Linked DNA regions of Daphnia pulex. The protein of the gene in region 1 interacts with the protein of each later gene in a pairwise test. Links are inferred from orthologs where the notes say so. Each region holds a gene or a part of one and is shown in the gene's direction. Other genes may lie near its edges.

The links.
Region 2: the proteins of annexin B9-like (region 1) and programmed cell death protein 6-like interact in binary tests that used the Homo sapiens proteins (3 or more experiments, as listed by UniProt). The link is inferred for Daphnia pulex from reciprocal best matches to the Homo sapiens genes ANXA11 and PDCD6.

The regions. Positions count from the first base shown.
Region 1 is NC_060024.1:10,609,378-10,618,438, forward strand, and holds annexin B9-like, read left to right. Parts: upstream 1-405; 5' UTR 406-422; intron 423-482; exon of another isoform or gene 483-533; intron 534-624; exon of another isoform or gene 625-786; intron 787-886; exon of another isoform or gene 887-917; intron 918-988; exon of another isoform or gene 989-1,779; intron 1,780-1,911; exon of another isoform or gene 1,912-2,028; intron 2,029-2,087; 5' UTR 2,088-2,304; intron 2,305-2,368; exon of another isoform or gene 2,369-2,371; 5' UTR 2,372-2,443; intron 2,444-2,509; 5' UTR 2,510-2,561; intron 2,562-2,626; 5' UTR 2,627-2,974; intron 2,975-2,990; exon of another isoform or gene 2,991-3,015; intron 3,016-3,225; 5' UTR 3,226-3,298; coding exon 3,299-3,307; intron 3,308-3,369; coding exon 3,370-3,546; intron 3,547-3,615; coding exon 3,616-3,820; intron 3,821-3,889; coding exon 3,890-3,969; intron 3,970-4,053; coding exon 4,054-4,126; intron 4,127-4,214; coding exon 4,215-4,388; intron 4,389-4,459; coding exon 4,460-4,535; intron 4,536-4,599; coding exon 4,600-4,705; and 4 more. UniProt on the Homo sapiens protein: Binds specifically to calcyclin in a calcium-dependent manner. Required for midbody formation and completion of the terminal phase of cytokinesis.
Region 2 is NC_060019.1:5,642,751-5,652,753, forward strand, and holds programmed cell death protein 6-like, read left to right. Parts: upstream 1-5,697; 5' UTR 5,698-5,973; coding exon 5,974-6,053; intron 6,054-6,125; coding exon 6,126-6,232; intron 6,233-6,322; coding exon 6,323-6,475; intron 6,476-6,541; coding exon 6,542-6,657; intron 6,658-6,735; coding exon 6,736-6,837; 3' UTR 6,838-7,001; downstream 7,002-10,003. Other genes in the region: PHAF1 protein CG7083-like, read right to left, coding at 8,206-8,230, 8,307-8,377, 8,446-8,592, 8,659-8,752, 8,833-8,915, 8,983-9,078, 9,140-9,255, 9,320-9,696 and 2 more. UniProt on the Homo sapiens protein: Calcium sensor that plays a key role in processes such as endoplasmic reticulum (ER)-Golgi vesicular transport, endosomal biogenesis or membrane repair.

The DNA.
Region 1 (9,061 bases):
CACGATAGGTGATTGTATTTTACACGTTGCAGAAATCTTCCAATTCTAGTTCCAGAAACACGCTCTAGAAATTTGCCGCCAAATCCAAGGTACATACAAAAAGCTTTTAAGCAGACGACTTTTTTCAGTTCAAATGCCGCGGGATTCAAACTTGGCACTCGAAAAAACCCGCAAGCCTCTACGGAAAATTTTCATCATCGGGATATAAATGGTAATCGCTCCAGGAAACATAATTTTATTCGAATTCTTTTTTTTTCTGCTGATTAAATGTATTTCAAATGAAATTCACCCAGGGTTAAAGCTACAAACACCCACGACCAAAAGTCCAAAATAGCATAGAACCTCAAGCAGAGAACTCGAGTGGATATATGGCAGCAAAGGACCAGCAGCTTCCACACTGTAAAAATATCATAAAGAGTAAGGTAAATATAGTTAAAAACGCAACAACTTTTCTGGATAACTGTAGAAAAACGAAGAATTACCGCTGCTTGGTTTCGAATTGGTGCCATACATTTATGCTTGCGATAATCCAACTAAATCCCCAACATTTTTTAAATAATTATTTAGAAACTCGTAATATTCTTCTCAGTTTTTAAAATCAAAATCAATATTTAAAATACGTACAGTAGCAGGGAGAGCTTGGCGATTTTCACGGCTAATTGTAGTCATTAGAGTACTTCCTTTTTCGTTGGCTGGTTTCTTCTTTCTTGGCTCCATCAGTGCGGCGATTTTAAAGTCGAACTAAATTTGAATTATTATTATTATTATCCTTTCATTCATGTAGTATGTAGTTACAGATTTGCTGTAAATTCAATTGGCACATTTGAATTACCCGAAGGGTTACTGGTCAAAGTTTCGTTTACAGTATGGTTTACATGGGCACCCTCAGTTCTCGTAACACAACATAGATGGCTGCACTAGTTTTTGGCAATTATTGATTGTAATCAACAATTTAATTGCATTTCAATGGCAGCAATCGGTAGCTTACAATTTTTTACATCTATTCTGAAAATTTGGCTGCAATCAATTCAGGCGTTTGATCAAACGGAGTTCTTGTTACTTTTTGACAGAATTTCAATAGCTGTTAGAGCAGACGATAATACAGAGACATGTGACAGGATGACAGCATCGTCTCTATTGAATATGACCAGCATGACCCAGGATCGAAGAAAAAGCGTAGAGTACCGCCGTTGATTGTTGGACCATCTCTAGCCTGTCTTATTTTTCTTTTCAAAATTATCATCCTGTTGGAGTAATATTGTAGGCTTATGATAGAATAGAAGTCACTGTATGTTATTACCTAACCGCACCTAACGCTATCAATCTCCAGTAAAAGAAGTGCTGATAGGTAGTTACTTACATTTAATTTTAACAACATCCGGTGTGACGTGGGGTGGCGGGGCGAAGCCTCCGCCGCACCAAAGTCACGCCTTACCCTTACGCCGCGCCATATCATATTAGGTTTTTGGGAATTGAATTTGTATTAAATGTTTGGATAGAAACATGCGGAAATATGCTTTTCATCTCTTTCTCGATTTCTGCATATTACATTCTTCCGGAAACTAAGGGCATAACATTTTTGTTTTAAATATTATTAATTAATCTTAATAATAGGCCTACCTTTATAACAGAATATTATTTTTATTCTATAACTATTCTATAGCTCTGCCTTTATAAAACTATACCAATACAGCAATTCTACTATTCCAACTAGTATACCCTTAACATCCCCTTCGGGTACCTTGCGGCGTACGTACGCTGCCTACAGTGGTATCTATTACCATATCAGAGAAAACGTTGTGATCTTGTTTGAATTTATTATTACGGTCCTGGTGTAACATAGATGGAGCGTCGGTCGTTCAGACGATTGCCAGTTTTATTGTTTTGATTTTTCGAAATCGACTAATCGAGATCTGTGCCGGGCTGCCGGCCTTGAATCAGTGTCGGATCGGTTACATTTTACATGGCAGACACACGTAATTTACATAATCATCGTCATCACCTTCAATGTCAAATGAGTGTCTGATGGTTGGTTTCAGAACAGTCCGTTAATTTTAAATACTCTAACTGTTGACTTTTGTAAACAGTGGATGGCGTTTGTACGGTTTCCATGAGGTTCCAGCATGTTAGAACCACTCCTACACATCATGACACAAGTGGTTTCCATAACACCCAAGTTCTCTTTTGTCATATTGCATCCAGAACATTGCTTGGTCGGTTGATGGAAATGAGTAAAGACAAGGAAATATCATCAGCATCTTTTTGTAGAGTTGGTAGAGTGGAAGACTGGATTGAAGGACGAAGGTATGTAACATTAATTGCTGTAAGTTGTAACATATTGTTGAAAAGTTTATTTGTGGATTCTCAGTAGGGTTAAATTTTGGGCATTGCTATGTAACATTTAGCAAACTGATGTGAATGTAATCTAAAACAAATTTAAAGGGTAAACAAACACTTTGACGATAAGAATAATTTACACATAGGATCATAATTGATTTTGGAATTACAGAATTTAATCAAATGCTGCTGAATAACTGCATTCATTAATATTTGTGATAAAGGTTGGTACACATTCTTATCAAGTCAAAAGTAAAGAATGAATTAAAAAGTTCTGATGTGTTCCAAGTATAAATTATCCGTAACAAGGAAAACGGTGCGGTATGAAAACAGGAAGTAGAATTCTACTATTTGCGTTCCAGACTTCACGAGGAAATTTCCGTCTTAGAGTACAAGCCAACAACAAGTCGGATTCGGTCGGATTTTACCTGTTTTCTTTGTCACTGTTTGGTTTTCCTTTCCCGTTTTGTTTTCGTGAATGCGACTTGTAGCCCTCTATAGCAGGTAGAAAACTTACACTCGCGACGCTAGTTGAGTTTGTTCACTAGCCGCGTTAGAGTTTCTCTTCTACTCTGTGTACACTTTTTATATGATTTTCATAAATAACCGACGTTCATTTTAAATTACTTTGAAGCAGGTAATTATCTCATTTCTACTTAGGATTGATTTCTTATTTTGGTGAGATAATTTCAGAATTGTCATTAAAAGTTTTAAACTTGTTTTTTCTAAACCTTAAAAGAAATTTATCTCATATAAATTGTAGCCTATAGATAAGAGCGTTGAATGTTGAAGCAACAACCTTAGAATATTTCTTGTCTAAAATTAATTGTAATATTAAATGATTTTATTATCTGGACAAAATTTTATCGACTATTTGTTTTTCTGCAGCACTTAAAACAACACATCCGCTTCACGCAGCATTACAGGGCTGTTTTCAGACTTTAATATTCAGCATTAAAAAATGGGCGAAGTAAGCATACTGATTATATTGTAAATTTGTCAAATAATTTGAACTCGAAACTTCATTTTCAGAATATTCCTACTATATTTCCGGCTTCATCGTTTAATCCCCGAGCTGATGCTGATGCGCTTCAGAAAGCAATGAAAGGTTTCGGTACGGACGAAAAAGCTCTGATAAGTATTCTGTGCCATCGCACCTGTGACCAGCGCGCGTCAATAAATCTTGCCTACAAGGCAGGCTATGGAAAGGTTATTTGGCAACAATATGTATAATTTTTTTTTTTTTTTTTTAATTTGAGCTCGTAATGTAAAAATTAGGATCTGGAGTCGGCATTAAAGAGCGAATTAAGCGGTTGTTTTGAAAAGTTAATGGTTGCCCTCTGCCTTCCTATAGCTGAATTTATGGCACGTGAAGTTCATCATGCTATCAGTGGAATGGGGACCAATGAAGATACGCTCATTGAAGTTCTTTGTAGCGGGACTAACCAGGAGATTCGCGAAATGAACGCTGCCTACCAACGATGTGAGAATTAGAAATCGACAGGTTTTATTACGTTCTAGATTGTTATTTGTGGCTAAATTTTTCGTCAAGTGTACGGGCACTCTATGGAGAAGGATATCAAGGGAGATACTTCTGGTGAATTTGAATTGCTTCTCGTTTCAATGGTCCAGGTGAAGTTCTTGCTGATTTAATGTTCTCCGTTATTCGATTTTATATGTCCTGAGTTTATTTTTTTGTATTTAATTTAATTGTAGGGTCAAAGAGATGAGAATCAAGCGGTTGATGTTTACGAGGCTAGAGCGGATGCCCATCTTTTGTTTCAAGCAGGTAATTTTATTAACTGCATTTCTGTATATCAAGTGATCGATAACTTATAGCCTCTGTCAGTTAAAATATCCGCTTTATTTATTTCCAGGAGCGGCTAAGATAGGAACAGATGAAAGTGTTTTTCATTCTATCCTTGCTTCTCGCAGTTGGCCTCATTTACGTCAGGTTATTTCCGAGTATCACAATATGCACGGCCACACTTTGGAACGTGCTTTGAAGGCGGAGTTTTCGTTCAACGCAGAGAGGGGTCTTTTAACAATATGTAAGTGTCACAGCTTCCTACGAAATTCCTACTTCTTGCATGACTTCACAATATTGTTAACATTCTGCCAGTGCAATGTGCCAAAAACAGACATGAATATTTCGCTCATCGCCTACATCACGCCATTGATGGATTGGGCACAAACGAGTATGACCTAATCTTTATTGATTTTTCACTGAATTTAATTGACATATATATTTTACTTATTCAGTCGTAACCTTATTCGTATAATCGTTGGTCGTTGTGATGTTGATCTCAACAACATAAAACAAGAGTATGAAAGGAAATTCAGCCGTAGTCTTCAAGCTGATCTTTCGGTACTGAAATGCTTTTACTTTTCTTTTCAATAAACTTTGAAAGAAAATTACGATTTCTTCGTAGGGCGATTCTTCAGGTGATTACCGAAGGGCACTTCTGGCTCTTCTCGGCTGAAAATGTAATAGGAAACTATATTCTTTACATTTGAGTTATATCTGAGTTATCTTTAATACTTCCATAACAAAAAATTTCTTTCATTATAATCATGTTTATGGAATAATTGTTGCCGAAATAGTTACAATTGTTTAAGAATAATAAGTGTCTTAAATCTGTTTCTTTAATTTGCTAATTCTTGACTAAATATGCAGTAAACGCACTGTGATTTGGGAAGCCACTCGGGCATTATAGATTATAGTTCTGGGTAATATTTGATTAGCCTACACCTTCGTCTCAATGAGCACAGATCAGTTTCTCCGGAGTGAAATCTACAGCGTTTATAGGAATGAAGAGTTGCCTCAAAAATGTTAAAAAATCTTTCCTTGACGTAATCGGAACGGACTACCAATTGAATTTCTGAACGAAAAATAATTTGTAAATTCTTTTCCGTGATTTGATATTTCGATCAAAATTAAAGTTCTTAAAGTAAAGTAAGATATAATCTAGTTCGTAAGTTAAATATAATATGACACTTTTTAGTTAAAGCATGGTTAAAGAACATCACTCATTCACCGAAGAAACGCGTTAAATTACTCAAATGTCAATTGGTAAAAAAGAGAGTTTAAGCCATAACCATTTGATATTCATTTTGATATTGGTTACCCTACCCAGCAACGCCAACCTAAAGAAGGAAAGGCCAGTTTGCATGTCCTTCACATTCGAAGGTTACGGAGATCATTACGTAAAACGTGTCATGCAGTGGGGTAGAGGTTGGGTGAGAACGACACGTGTTACATAGCTATTTGGTATTCATTTTGATATTGATATTTTGATATACCCATCCCCAGCAACATCTACCTAAAGAAGGAAAGAAAATTTTCCTTCACTTCCGAAGGTCACGGAGATCATTACTTAAAATGTGTCATGTGGTGTAGAGGTTGGGTGAGAACGGGACGTTTTCATAATTATCAGGCAGGTACAATAGCCGCAAGGCTTAGGAGGGGAATGGTGAGAAAAAATCGTATAAAAGGAGAGAGAAAAGGCGAAGCAAAATCAGTCGATTTTGCTGTACCGATATTGATGTTTTCAATAACAATGTGACTCACGCCATCATCCTAGCAGCCAGCAACCACATCCCAGTCGTGCGACAAGGACACCACAAGCCGGGCGTCCCATGGTGGAATGCAGCGTGTGCAGACGCCATCAAAGAAAAAGAAAAGGCCTGGGTGAGAGCAAACGCATCAAGAAATCCAGACGACTACAAAATATACAGCACTTTACGTAACAAAAGCCGATCGGTGATGCGAAACGCGAAGAAAGAGCACTGGCGAGCTCACTGTAGCACAATAAACAAGAACACAACGTCCCGTGATCTCTGGGAAAAAACCAACCAAATGCTGGGGCGAAACAACAAAACAAAACCGATCTCGGTGCTACTCGACAAAAATGGGACGTGTGTTACGGAGTCATCAGCAAAAGCCAACCTATTTGCAAAGCATTACAAAGCAGTGAGTAGTGACACCAACCTATCAGAATCCTTTCTCCAACACCGCCGAATTTCCGAACAGTCCATGGAAGATGGTGAAGCGGACGAGCCGGACGGACGGATAGAAGACGCAGAAATGAATGCAGATTTCTCAATGCAAGAGCTGACGACCGCCCTAAAAGAAGCAAAAGATACAGCAGTGGGAAGCGACCGAATATCTTTATCAATGCTACGCCACCTACCGGATACAGCCCTACGTACGCTACTGGCCCTGTACAACGAGTCCTGGAAACAAGGCACGCTACCGAAAGGATGGAAGCACTCGCTGATCATCCCCTTGTTGAAGCCAAACAAAACTGCATCGAAACCGGAGTCATACCGGCCGATCTCGCTTACCCCGGTGCCATGCAAGGTCCTGGAGAGAATGATTAAAATCAGACTCTCTTGGTACCTTGAGAAAAATCTCCTCCTCGCCCCAAATCAAAGTGGTTTCCGACGAAACAGAGGGACTATGGACAATTTAGTGAGGCTCGAAAATTCGGTCCAATCAGCCCTAAACAACAAAGGATATGTGATGGCAGTCACGCTCGATCTTGAAAAAGCCTACGACATGATCTGGATAAAAGGACTAATTTACAAGCTCAAAAAGCTCAGCATAAGAGGCAACATGCTCAAGTGGATTACCTCCTTTTTGGTCGGTCGGACAGCACAAGTATCGTTAAATGGAACTCGGTCCGAGCTCTTCTCCTGCCTAAACGGCACACCACAAGGAAGTGTCATCAGCCCGTTATTGTTCATCATCCTCATTAACGACATTGCCAAGAAACGCCGCTCCTGTATGTCGGGAATGTACGCCGATGACATTTTCATCTGGCAGAAGCACCGAAACTTACACTTCCTGAGAAAAAAGGTAGAAAAGGACACACAAGATGTTATCGTCGAGCTCAGACTATGGGGCTTCCTAGTTTCGGCAGCAAAAACCGGAGAAATAGTTTTTTCCAAGCGGAATATACCCGAAAATTTGAGCATCACAGTAGACGGAGCTAGCATCCAAGTGCAAAAGTCAATCAAACTACTGGGCATGACACTCGACAGCAAACTAAATTGGTGCAAACAAATAGACGACGTCGTCAGCAAGTGCTCAAAAGTTTTAAATTTACTACGCCTCATATCTGGAACGAAATGGGGCGCACACGCAAAGCCCATGCTACAAATCTACCAGGCTCTGATCCGCTCAAAACTCGACTATGGAGGAGAACTCATCGAGTCCGCCTCTATCACAGCAAAGAAAAAACTGGACAAAATCCAAGCACAAGCGCTGAGAACAGTGGTGGGTGAGCCAAGGGACACTGCAACAGAGGCCCTGCTACGAGAGACGGGCGAAATGCCCTTGCACCTTAGGAGAAATCTCGCCAGCGTCAAACATTATTTAAGGTGCTACGAGGTGAAGTCTGACCTGCTAGCAGAAAAAGAAGAGTGGTTCAAAAACGCCGAGCAGTGTTTTCTCTCCAGAGTCGAGTCCGTTACAAACACCTTGGACCATCATCCTAAATCAGTCGAGAAATTATCCATCAGCAAGCACCCGCCATGGCAGGCTTTGCTTCCGGAAGTCACGACGTACACACCAAACGACCTGAAATGGCAAAATGTGGTCCACATTTACACAGACGCAGCAAAATCAAAAGACGGGCGATGTGCTGTTGCCTTTGTGGTACCAGAGAAAGTCATCGTTGAGCAGAAGCGTCTGGTGGACGGTTTGGCGACAGCAAAGTGTGAACTCGTAGCAATACACCTGGCAGTAAAGTGGGCAGAAGCACACGCAACACTGGGGAGCTTTGTTATCCTAACAGACTCAAAAAAGGCATTGCAAATACTCCACTCAAGTAGTGAAAACAACAGTGTCAAAACAAGCACCGTGGACACCTGGCGAGCACTCTCCAGAGCTGGCACAACTGTCAGTTTTTCGTGGGTAAAAGGACACAGTGGAATATCCGGCAACGAGCAAGCTGATCGTGCTGCCAAAAATGGGCTGGAGCTAAAACCTAGCCTCAGCTGCAGAAGAGACACAAACGACATCCGTGAAAACGTTGAAGACCTCCTCCTGAAAAAATGGCAAGGCCTCTGGGACAAGCCGAAAACGGAATGTGGACTTTTCACCCACAGACACAGTCCAGTCGTGTCAAGAATCGCCTCCCTGTTCGGCCAGTCAAGAAGTGAGCAAGTGTTCTTATCGCAGATTCGCCTCGACATGCTGCCGCTAAACTATCGTCTGTTCAAACGCAAAAAACATCCGACCGGTCTCTGCTGCAACTGCGACGCCGAAGAAAAAGAAAATGTCGAACATGTACTGCTGGCCTGCCCGGCGTACGCAAAGGAGCGAGAAGAAATGGTGTACGTAGTGAGCGAAAACACTCCCACACTGCAAGAGCTGCTAAATTTCAACGACGAGGTAACTCTCAAAGCCGTTTTGGACTTCTTTAATGCCATAGGCATCAAAGCCCGACTCGGTTTCTAGCAAGAGAAACCAAAAACCTAAAGCCGGTGCCCAGCTTTCTCCCTAAAACGCATGTGCAAGTGGCGTAAATAGGCCTGCCGGCCTGGAAACGTCAAACCCCCATCCCCAAAAAACCAACCAACCGAAGCAAAATCAGTCAAGTGAGCGTCTCCGACACGGCAACAACTGCAGCGTACCATCTGCTTTCTTCATCCTTATTACAGCAGTTCACATCAATCATTGGTAAATATGCATTTTTATTTATAGTCGTGAATCAGT
Region 2 (10,003 bases), on another chromosome or scaffold:
AATTTATAGCCTGGCTAATAACAAAAGAAGAAGATTTTATCGGTGTTCAAACTGAGAACATTTCGTACAAACAATGTATATACACACTGGTGGAAACAAATTGGAAACCATCATAGCAGCCGTTGACGACTTTTTATAGAATCATCGTTTGATCATCATTTGATCGCTCGAAACCAAAGCGTTTTCTTCTTCCAGACCAAGGACAAAAATGATCATGAATCTTGTGTTTCTAGTCAGCTATTTTTCTGAAAATTACTTCTTCATTATACAAGATTCATTGCAAGGTTATTACTGGGCAAATGATCAAACAACGATCCTTCCCTTTATAGCCAAAATTGAACGTCCTGACGGGAGTATCTTACACTTAAGCATAGCAGTAGAAAGTTACAATTTCACTCATGGCACCATATCTGTGCAGCACACTTACCTAAGACCAGTGTTTCAACACCTGATGATCTTAAATAATCTGTCATTAAACAGTCCAATACAAATACTTTACGGACGAGTCCAACGCACAATACAAAAACTAAAAGAAAATTTATAAATTCAGTGTTTTTACGTCACATCACACGGAGTGAAGGCAAATGCGGCAGTTATAAATGGATGCAAAGTGCTATAGCGGTTGCCGACACAAGTTTCATTGCTAAGCGCCTATTAATTATTTTACTAATAATTAGCTTCATCCGGCAATGATGAAAATTTTGCGAAATTTTATATTTTGTCAAAGCCATGTATAATGTTTTTTATTGTTTCTAAATTATTACGTAGCCTGAATTGACCCAAATAATAATAATATTGAGACCCTGATTGTTAGTCTCGATGAAGAAACGAGATAATTTAATGTTTTTTATTTCCCCCTGATGGATATCTGGGTTTGATTCGAGGGTAAAAACCAAATGCCAAGAAAAATACACAGTAAAAAAGGTGCAAATCTATTTTTTGCAACAAAAAGCGAAAAATTCACTTGTCATGGAATGACCCATACAAAAATTCTACCTTTCTGTTATTGTACAAAGGAGCCTATGGAGCTTTCCTCAGAAATCAACATTCAACGGTAGTTTGCATTCTATATAATTCTCCGTCGTGCAAACTGTTATAGTTTAATCCCATTCTTTTCCCTCGTATAATTTTTTTTTACAAAATTAATCTTAGATTTTTGTATCAAAGTTTATCAAGATTTTATTTTTCAAAGGGCTTCTAACTTTTGGAAACATTTAATTTATTATAAGTTCCATATTTGAAGATATTCATTGTTTGCTAATATGAGTTCGTGGGGAGGAGTGGCCACGAAGGCTCCATATTCCAAGCCAATGTCCATTTGTATTCTAATTGGTAACAATAACTGAAGAAAGAGAGCAGAAAGATACTAATTTAAATTCATCTTATAAAATGTTTTTCTTCTTCTTGGTATATGCTAGAGGCAATTAGCTATTGTTCATATTCGGGAAGTAAAATAAACAAAGTAAAATAAATCACCTAAGAAATTTGGTAGTAAAAATGGTTGTAAATGAAATTTGATACTTTTATTTTAGAATTACTTAACTTCGTGTCGTTCATAGGGGTTTCTAATTCCGTCAATGACAAAAGTCATTTTCATTCCTGATTTTTTTAACTGACATAGGGGATTAGAAATATACGAGCGTAGTTGTTCATTTAAGATCTGATTCAGTAGGATTTTTTTTAACGCAACAGATCATTATGAGCTCTTTTTCCTTTCTATTTTCACTCTCTGATCAGATAGCATCTCCTGAAAATTTTTTATAAAAATAAATAATACTATAACAACCTATAAAGCAACTAAAAAGCTACACATAAAAATAAAATAAGGTGGTACAACTTGTAAAAATTTGGAAACGATAGTGTTTTCCAAGGCCAACACTAAAGTTCAATTGTGGAAGCCAAAATGTTGTCCATGACAAAGGAAAAGTTGACTTTTTTTTAAATAACCAGACCTTATTTATTATGATTTGATTCGAAGGAACTATATTCCACGCAAATCTCTTCTTTTTATTTAGGGATCCCTTCCACGAGTATTCCAACGCATTAGACCATCCCGTGCAAAGCTCACTTTTCTAATGTGCTAGAAGCAGCTAGAACGTGTTAACCGACCAACATCACCAACTTTTGTAACGGAGCATTGTTGCAGGATTCATTCCACAGCACACGATGTTGCTGTCGATGGTTCTGAGGTAGCCGCTTAGTTCGTCGTAGTCGCTGTAATGGTCAATAAAACTGGATGTCTATAAGCATCCAACTAAGTCGTACATGCAGCTGCTTTTCCGTTTTGATTCCAACTCCAAGAATCTGCTCCAAGAACCTTCGTCTTATAGTACTATAGACCTTTTTCCATTTGGTTCGGGTTACAGCCTGACAGGTTACAGTACATGGCCTTACGTGGGGTATTGACCGGATCAAGCAAAGTCTGCAGCAAGTTTCGGCTATCCCCCGCCATGGTGCGCACTAGTCGACTAGCCGCACGACTTTTCGCTCTACTTACCCGAACCAAATGGAAAAAGGTCTATAGCAAGTTAGAACTCTTCTAAACATTACACCAACCAATCTATATATCACTTATATTGTTATATTCTATGTATACCTTGAGAAAACGGGTTTGACTTCGCGTACATCTTATCATGTCAGGAGAGCTTACAGAAAAATCTTATAATATTATTAGTAGTGTTTGTGTGTGTAGCGAAACTTTTTATTGCAGATTCCTCCGTCACACAAAGTTTCGCTATACTCCGTAATTAACGTTGCGTTCCTTCCAGTGTAAACGCACCTTTAGAAGCTTGTTAAAAAGGCAGAGAAGCAGTAAACGAACTTCATTGTAGTTAAATTGCTCTTAATGCTAAAAATAATAATTAAAATTTCCACCACAATTGGTTTTTCCATAATATTTTAACAATAGTTTAATTCCACGTAATTTTTTCCGCGGGTCAAATCATTAACACTCACTCATTAATTGGGCAAAAGGAAAATAATTTTTCTGTTACTGGTGACGAACCGGAGGTAATATATTATGTAGGAGGGAATGAGGGATTTTTTGGAAAACATTTAAATCGAATTTCCGAGAAAAGTTTCGAAGTAGTTGTCAACCCGCGAAACTCACGAAATTTCCCATTTCTCTGAGACGACGCCATTAAAGTTGTCTGATATTATTTCACTGTTTGGTGACGCACGTTGTTAGCACTACGCAACAACAATCCAACACTTCCCGTCGTCTGCACTTTGGACATTGATGCCAATTTCAGAATTTTAAAATTAGTTGTAGTAATAAATGATGTAAATAAACCCCCGAAGGAACGGGACTCATATTGCGTTATAAAAAAAATTATCCGTATCTTGGTGGTAGAGAAATGGCCTGGAATGGCGTATATCAATGGATCGATCCTCACATGGGTCATAACTCTTCTAGAAACCAAAAACCCTTAACATTTTGACAAAATGATTTTCATGTTTAACAAGCGATCCATGACTCAGGTAGACCGAAATCCCGGAGCAGCTTTCCAGATTTATATCCGGAAAAGGAATTTGAAATATAAAAAATATATGTTGTCATTTTTGTCTCTACACGCCGGATTTACTTGCGTTTGCAGAAAGACGAAATTCCCACCCGTTTACGAGATATTAAGCGTTAAAGTTTGAGTTTTTTTTTATTTATCAGAAATGGGGGGTACTTTGACATCGCTTTTCTGAAAGGTATAGGGGCTATAGCAGAAACTTATTTTATAGAAAGGTTTATTGCTATCTCAACCATTAAAATCCAAAAGGAATTTTCTTTCCGGATTTTATTGGTTGAGATATGACTAATTTCCTGAGAGGCTCATTTTTCCCTTTTCCCTCTCTGCCTGGCACCCATATTTTGTTCTCACTGCCGCGCTCCTTCCGGAAGCAAGCAGAAGGTTTTATCTGTTGGCCTTCATTTTAGACCCATAGAAGTCATATCGGCCTTCATATTTAGTGGAACTAAGCTGGTTTCCGCAAGGGGCGCAAAGGAGAGTAAAAAAAAAGTTGTATAGATGTTATTCCAACTTAAAAGTAGTAGTCGAGTAAAAGCAGAGATAAGGAGATGGGCCACTCTGTGTAAAGTCCAGCAGTCGACTTCCCCTCCTCCTTCTTTTCGACTGCCCTGCTCCTTTCGGCGAGCTCCGGAAGCTTTACCTTACTTGGTGGTAGGGGCGGTCCTGAAGGGGGAGAACTACTGGGAAATGCTTCCGGAGCTCGCCGAAAGGAGCAGGGCAGTCGAAAAGGAGGAGGAGGGGGGAAAAAGTCGACTACTGGACTTTACACAGAGTGGCCCATCTCCTTATCTCTGAGTAAAAGTCGTGCGCAGTTTACGCCGATGCGCACCACTGCGGCCGATAGCAGAATGAAATTTTTATTACGCTTGACACTTAACGTAGGTACAATCCTTTGTTCCAGAACTGTCTGCTTCTCGAACAAAGGATTGTACCTACGTCATCTGTCAAGCGTAATAAAAATTGTCGTTCTGCTATCGGCCGCAGACCCGCAGTGGTGTGCACCGGCGTAAACTGCGCACGACTTTTTGGCATGTCTACTACTTTTTGGTTGGAATAACATCTATAAGGAGGATTCAAAACAAAAATTAATTATTTTTCATGCTTCTAGGCCTTCTACCCTATTGTTGATGAAACTATTACCATTATTTATAACAAAATTGTTTATAACTTGTGGACTTGTGGTGTACTCGATTGATAGCGGATGGACTCGAACTGTAGCGTACTCGATTTTTTAGCGTACTTTTTTTTTAGCATTTGATTATCGATTCGATCTCGATCACGCTCTATAAATTGAAAAATTGGTGTGATGTCATAGATAAAGACCACGGGTCTTTATAATTAGTGGTCTTTAGGTCAACCGCTTCCTCTTGATCAGAAAAAAATAAGCGATCAATCGTGATAAACTAATCGATCGCGTAAACTGGTTTTCAGTATGTTTGGCACCTAGATGGCACCGGCGTTTCTCCCTTTTTCAAATTCTTCTGAACAAATACTTAAATTTCTCGTTATATTAATTATCAGTAATAGAAACATTTAGCAAGCCAATAACTATTTTTTTTTTTTTGTAAAATCTGATTTACCCACAAAAAAATTATAGAGCCAACATATAGGGCTGTGGCCCGGGCGATGAAAACCCGGGCCACCGCCCGGGCTGAACGAAAAAAAACCCAACCCGACTCGACCCATCGAGGCATTTTTTTTAACGGGGCGGGCGACGGGTTGAACTCCCGGTACCGCGGGCCAACCCGAGCGGTGGCGCCATCTAGTAGTCACATAGAGAAGCTCGTTATTCTCTATGCCTGCGGCCTCAAAATATTGCCGCCAAATGCTCTACGATAATTTCGTAGCATGAAAAGTAGGATAAGTGGTAGAAAAGGGCGTTCAGGGGTGTTCAGAAGACAGAATTGACGTGTCACTGTTAGAAGAAGAAGATAATTAAGAAATTTAGGGAATTTTTTTAAGTTTGTAAAAAAAAAAGTGTGTTTGACCCGATTTTTTACCCGGGCCGTTACCCGACCGGTAAAAATTTTTTGACCCATGGGTTGGCCCGGGCCAAACCCGTTCACTCAGTTGGCCCAACCCGCTCCGACCCGCGGAAGAAGAAAAACCCATCTAAAAAACCCATTGAAAAAAAACCCGCTAAAAACGTCCCGGGCCACAGCCCTAAACATACGGATCGTCGATTATCGTCCAAGACTCCTGTCTTTATTTTACAGCAGTCATGGCTCATGGGTTTCGACTTTGGACTTGGATTGACTGTTGAGTGTTGAGTCATCAATGATTGAGACATCAAGTTGATTCAGTGCAACTCAGTGAATTAAGTTGACTGTTGGCCACTACAAAAAAATCCCTTTACTTATTAATAACACCCTTTGGTATCGGGCAGTTTAAAAAACGTATTGTACTTGAGTGAATTCTATTTATAAACGTTTAGTCGCGTTTAGTCTACACAATGGCTTATCAGCACTATCAAGGGCCGGGTGCGGTTCCAGCTGCTCCAAATCGTGATTTTCTTTGGCAGGTGTTTCAAAGGTTAAACAATTTTGTTGTGGGTTAAATTCAGGGAGAAAATTACAACTAAAATATATTTATTGAAATTTTTAGAGTTGACAAAGATAGAAGTGGAGCAATAACTGCCGAAGAGCTGCAATCAGCTCTATCCAATGGAACATGGGCTCCATTTAACTCGGAAACTGTTAGACTTATGATTGGTATGTGTTTGACAGCTGTATGAGAGGCATTAATGATAATTTTGTATCCCTTTGTACTAATGTTCCGTTTTGAATTGTGCACTACTACAGGTATGTTTGATCGTCAACAAAGAGGAACTATTTCCTTTGAAGATTTTGGAGCAATCTGGAAGTATGTCACTGATTGGCAAACTTGCTTTAGAAGTTTTGACAGAGATAATTCGGGGAACATTGATGGCAATGAACTAAGAACAGCACTTACAAGTAGTTTGTCATTAAAGTTGGCTGACAATTTTTAAATATACTAAGTGTTCTTTTGTGTTAATATAGGTTTCGGCTATCGTTTGCAAGACGGAACTCATCATATGTTGCTTCGAAAATTCGATCGTATGGGAAAAGGAACGATATATTTTGATGATTTCATTCAGTGTTGCATCGTTTTACATGTAAGAAAGATTTTTACATATCTATGATTTAAATGAAAGTATCATTTTTTCATATATCTATATTGTTTTCAATGACAGAACTTGACTTCAGCGTTTCGTCAATTCGATACCGATCAAGACGGTGTCATTACTATCGGATATGAACATTTTCTTCAAATGGTCCTCAACACCCGCGTATAAGTTTCAGCTAATATACCTAAGCTACTAAATTTACCACTTCCTTATTGCTGTTTGTGTATGTTTCTTTGCTCATATAGAGATTCTGTAACAGCCAATATCTTGATTTTTCCTGGCAGTTGATTGAACTCTTCTCCCTTTTGAATAAACTTGCATATGAAATGTTATTTTACTGTGATATAACTACTGTGTGAATCAGTATAACACCTTGTGTGCGATCTGATTGCTTGATAATATTGTTGCTCAAGGATCAGCATCAATCGTACACAGCAACGGAACTTTTCGTAATAGCACACAACGCACTGTAAACAAACTACAGCAATAGGGCATCTATTTCGTATCTGTCGTGTAAAGATAAAGCGATATAATCAAGATAAAATGAGTCATTTTAGAAGGTCTGTTATGCCAGCGCATTGTCGTAGAGGTAAAGTGTGCCTGCCCTATTCTATTCGACTTTTTTAACATGTTTCCAATATTTTTTCCCTGACAATCCAGAAAATAGAATACGGAAATAGAATTTAACCATGAACAAAAATTGATGTTAGTAAAAGTGAGTGATTATTTAGCTTATCATTCACTTCTGCAACTTTATATGTTCAGATTCTTTTTTGGGCGTAAACGGGAAGTTTACGAGGGTACGAGTAATTTATTGTCATTGTAGTCAGGTTTGTCCTCAAATCGACATAACCCATACTTATTAGCCTACGTCACCAAATTGTAGAAAATATTTCCGCGATGAATGTATAGGATAGTTGGCAACATTACAGAACAGTTTATTAATTATAGCATTTGTGTTAATAGTAAATATTTAGCAGTCGTATTGTTATTCAACAACTTCATTTTTATTGAGCGCACGTTATTTCGTTTATACATGTAGCCTATCTTGGACCTTTATTTTCTGTACCGTTAATTCTTTATTCATCATCGTGGTATTCTAGAATAACCAGACGCATTTAGTTTCATGATATAAGTTATTTTATTTTATTTTATTTTTTTAGATTGATGATGCGATAAATCAAACGTTCTGACTTCTGAGTTATCGTGAAAAATGGAGGCATGCAAAGACCTTTTACCCTATGTTTCGAAATTTTACAAGGGTGCTACACATATTTCAATATACACTGTTACAATTTACTCTTTTATCAGAACAATCAATTCAAACTTCTTTTTTTTTACTCCTGAACTCATAACGCACAGCCATCACAATAACTGATTGTCTTATAGGCTAGTCCAAACTCCAAACTAGCTATATGAATGTTTGAATAAGACATTAACATTGGAAAAGTAATTGGTGCTTAATGTTTAGTGTGTTTTATTACATTATTTTGCGTTCAAACAACATACAATCACGAAAGAGATGCGCACTTAAGATCAATTCATGGCGTCAGTCTGTTTCCTGGGCAAATACAAAAATCCTGTTTATATTATATTGGTAATAAAATTTTCCAATTATAGGACTAATATCCTTTTACGATTGTAATTCATGCGAGATATCATCGGATGCGTAAAGCGTTACAGATGCTATAAGGTTATTTGGCATCACCTTACATTCAAAAAGAGAAATTCATTAAAAGCTTTCAGTATTTTAGGAATCTAAAAATCGTTATTCACCTCGAAAATAATATCCTCAACCCCGTAGCAGAACGTAGAACCGAAGGGGTTTGTTGTATTCGTCGATGACGATCGATGTAAAACAATCGGACGTGAACTAGGCTGCACTTTCTCGCAAACTTCATCCCAACGTGAATAAGCAGATACCTACATTCGTAAATAATTTATGACATTGGTTTCACGCAAGAACATATATGTGAATTGAAAACCAACAGTGATAAATGTCGGCGATAAATCGACCAATCTCGAATTATCGACGGAAGTGGCCTTGGTCGGCAACTGGAGCTTAAACTCACATCGGTGATACCTAATTGAGAGAGAATTTTAAAAAAAAATAATTAAGCATTGACCAGCTCCCACGCATTCACTGCAAAATGTTTCACTTACATATTGAAATTGTAATGTCCTGGATAATTCGTATGCAGTACGAACTTCTTCAACTTGTGATATTTCCCATCGAATAAAGCATCCTTTTTTAAAACGGGAAATTTGTAATGAAACTTTTAAAAATGAAATCTAGAATAATTTTAAGTATACTAATCCAAGAGTGAAGTAGTTGTAAAAATAATCCGAAAAAGAAGCTGGAGCTCGACGATGCGCCTGTGGACTGTGAATCCTCATTTTGTCTTCGTCCTACCATCGACGATAAGAATTAAATTTATAAAGTGCATGTACATATATTTGCACATTTTACTTTATAAAACACGCGAGATGGAGCTCCCAACAGCGTAAGCACATCTTCGGCAGAAGCTCCAAAAAATAATTCCTGGACACAGGCATGTCGTCTAGGTTCCAATACTTGAGATGGACCTAAAACGCAAAATTACATTGATTTGAAAGTTAGTTTCTAAATTTATCAATGTTTGAGCCGAACCTTCACAAATAATGGAGAGCTTGATACCAGATGTACATCCATTATGACGAATAACTTCGAGCCATTGCAGATAAGGATGAGAAAAAAAGCAGGATATCGGTAGCGAAGGTGGTTTGCTGTCAACCAAGCTGTTTCCACTGAAAATGAACATCTTTGTTGCTATAGGAGACGCGCCGTTGGTGAATTGAAGCGATCCAAGTCCTCGAACGTATCTCGGTTCGCTAGCCTGTTCAACTGGAAAGGTAAAAGATAGGCCACGGAAATTTAGAGTAAAGATTCTTTTCTCAGGATCATATATTCCAGGGTGTGTAGCTCCAAAAGAATGATCTATTTGATCTATGGTTGGGATAACATCAGTTGAATTGAAAACCAGGCCACTATATCAAAATAGGGCATGATTATTTCTCCTAATCTTGTCTAAATTTTAAAATATTTTTACTATTACCAGTATTTCAGTTTGATGAGATTCATGGCAAAAATCTCAATCACTTTTAGGCGCTGTGAAACTGAATCAAATAAAAGGCGAATTCCATCCAAAGTAAGACTTAAAATAAGGTCAGAAGCCAAAGGGTCCTATACAGCAAATAACATGTATGTTCACGAAGTTTGTGTGTGTATGCTAAAAGATTTTACTTACATTCTCATTATATATTACTTGGACTCTCTTCATAACTGCTACCTGAG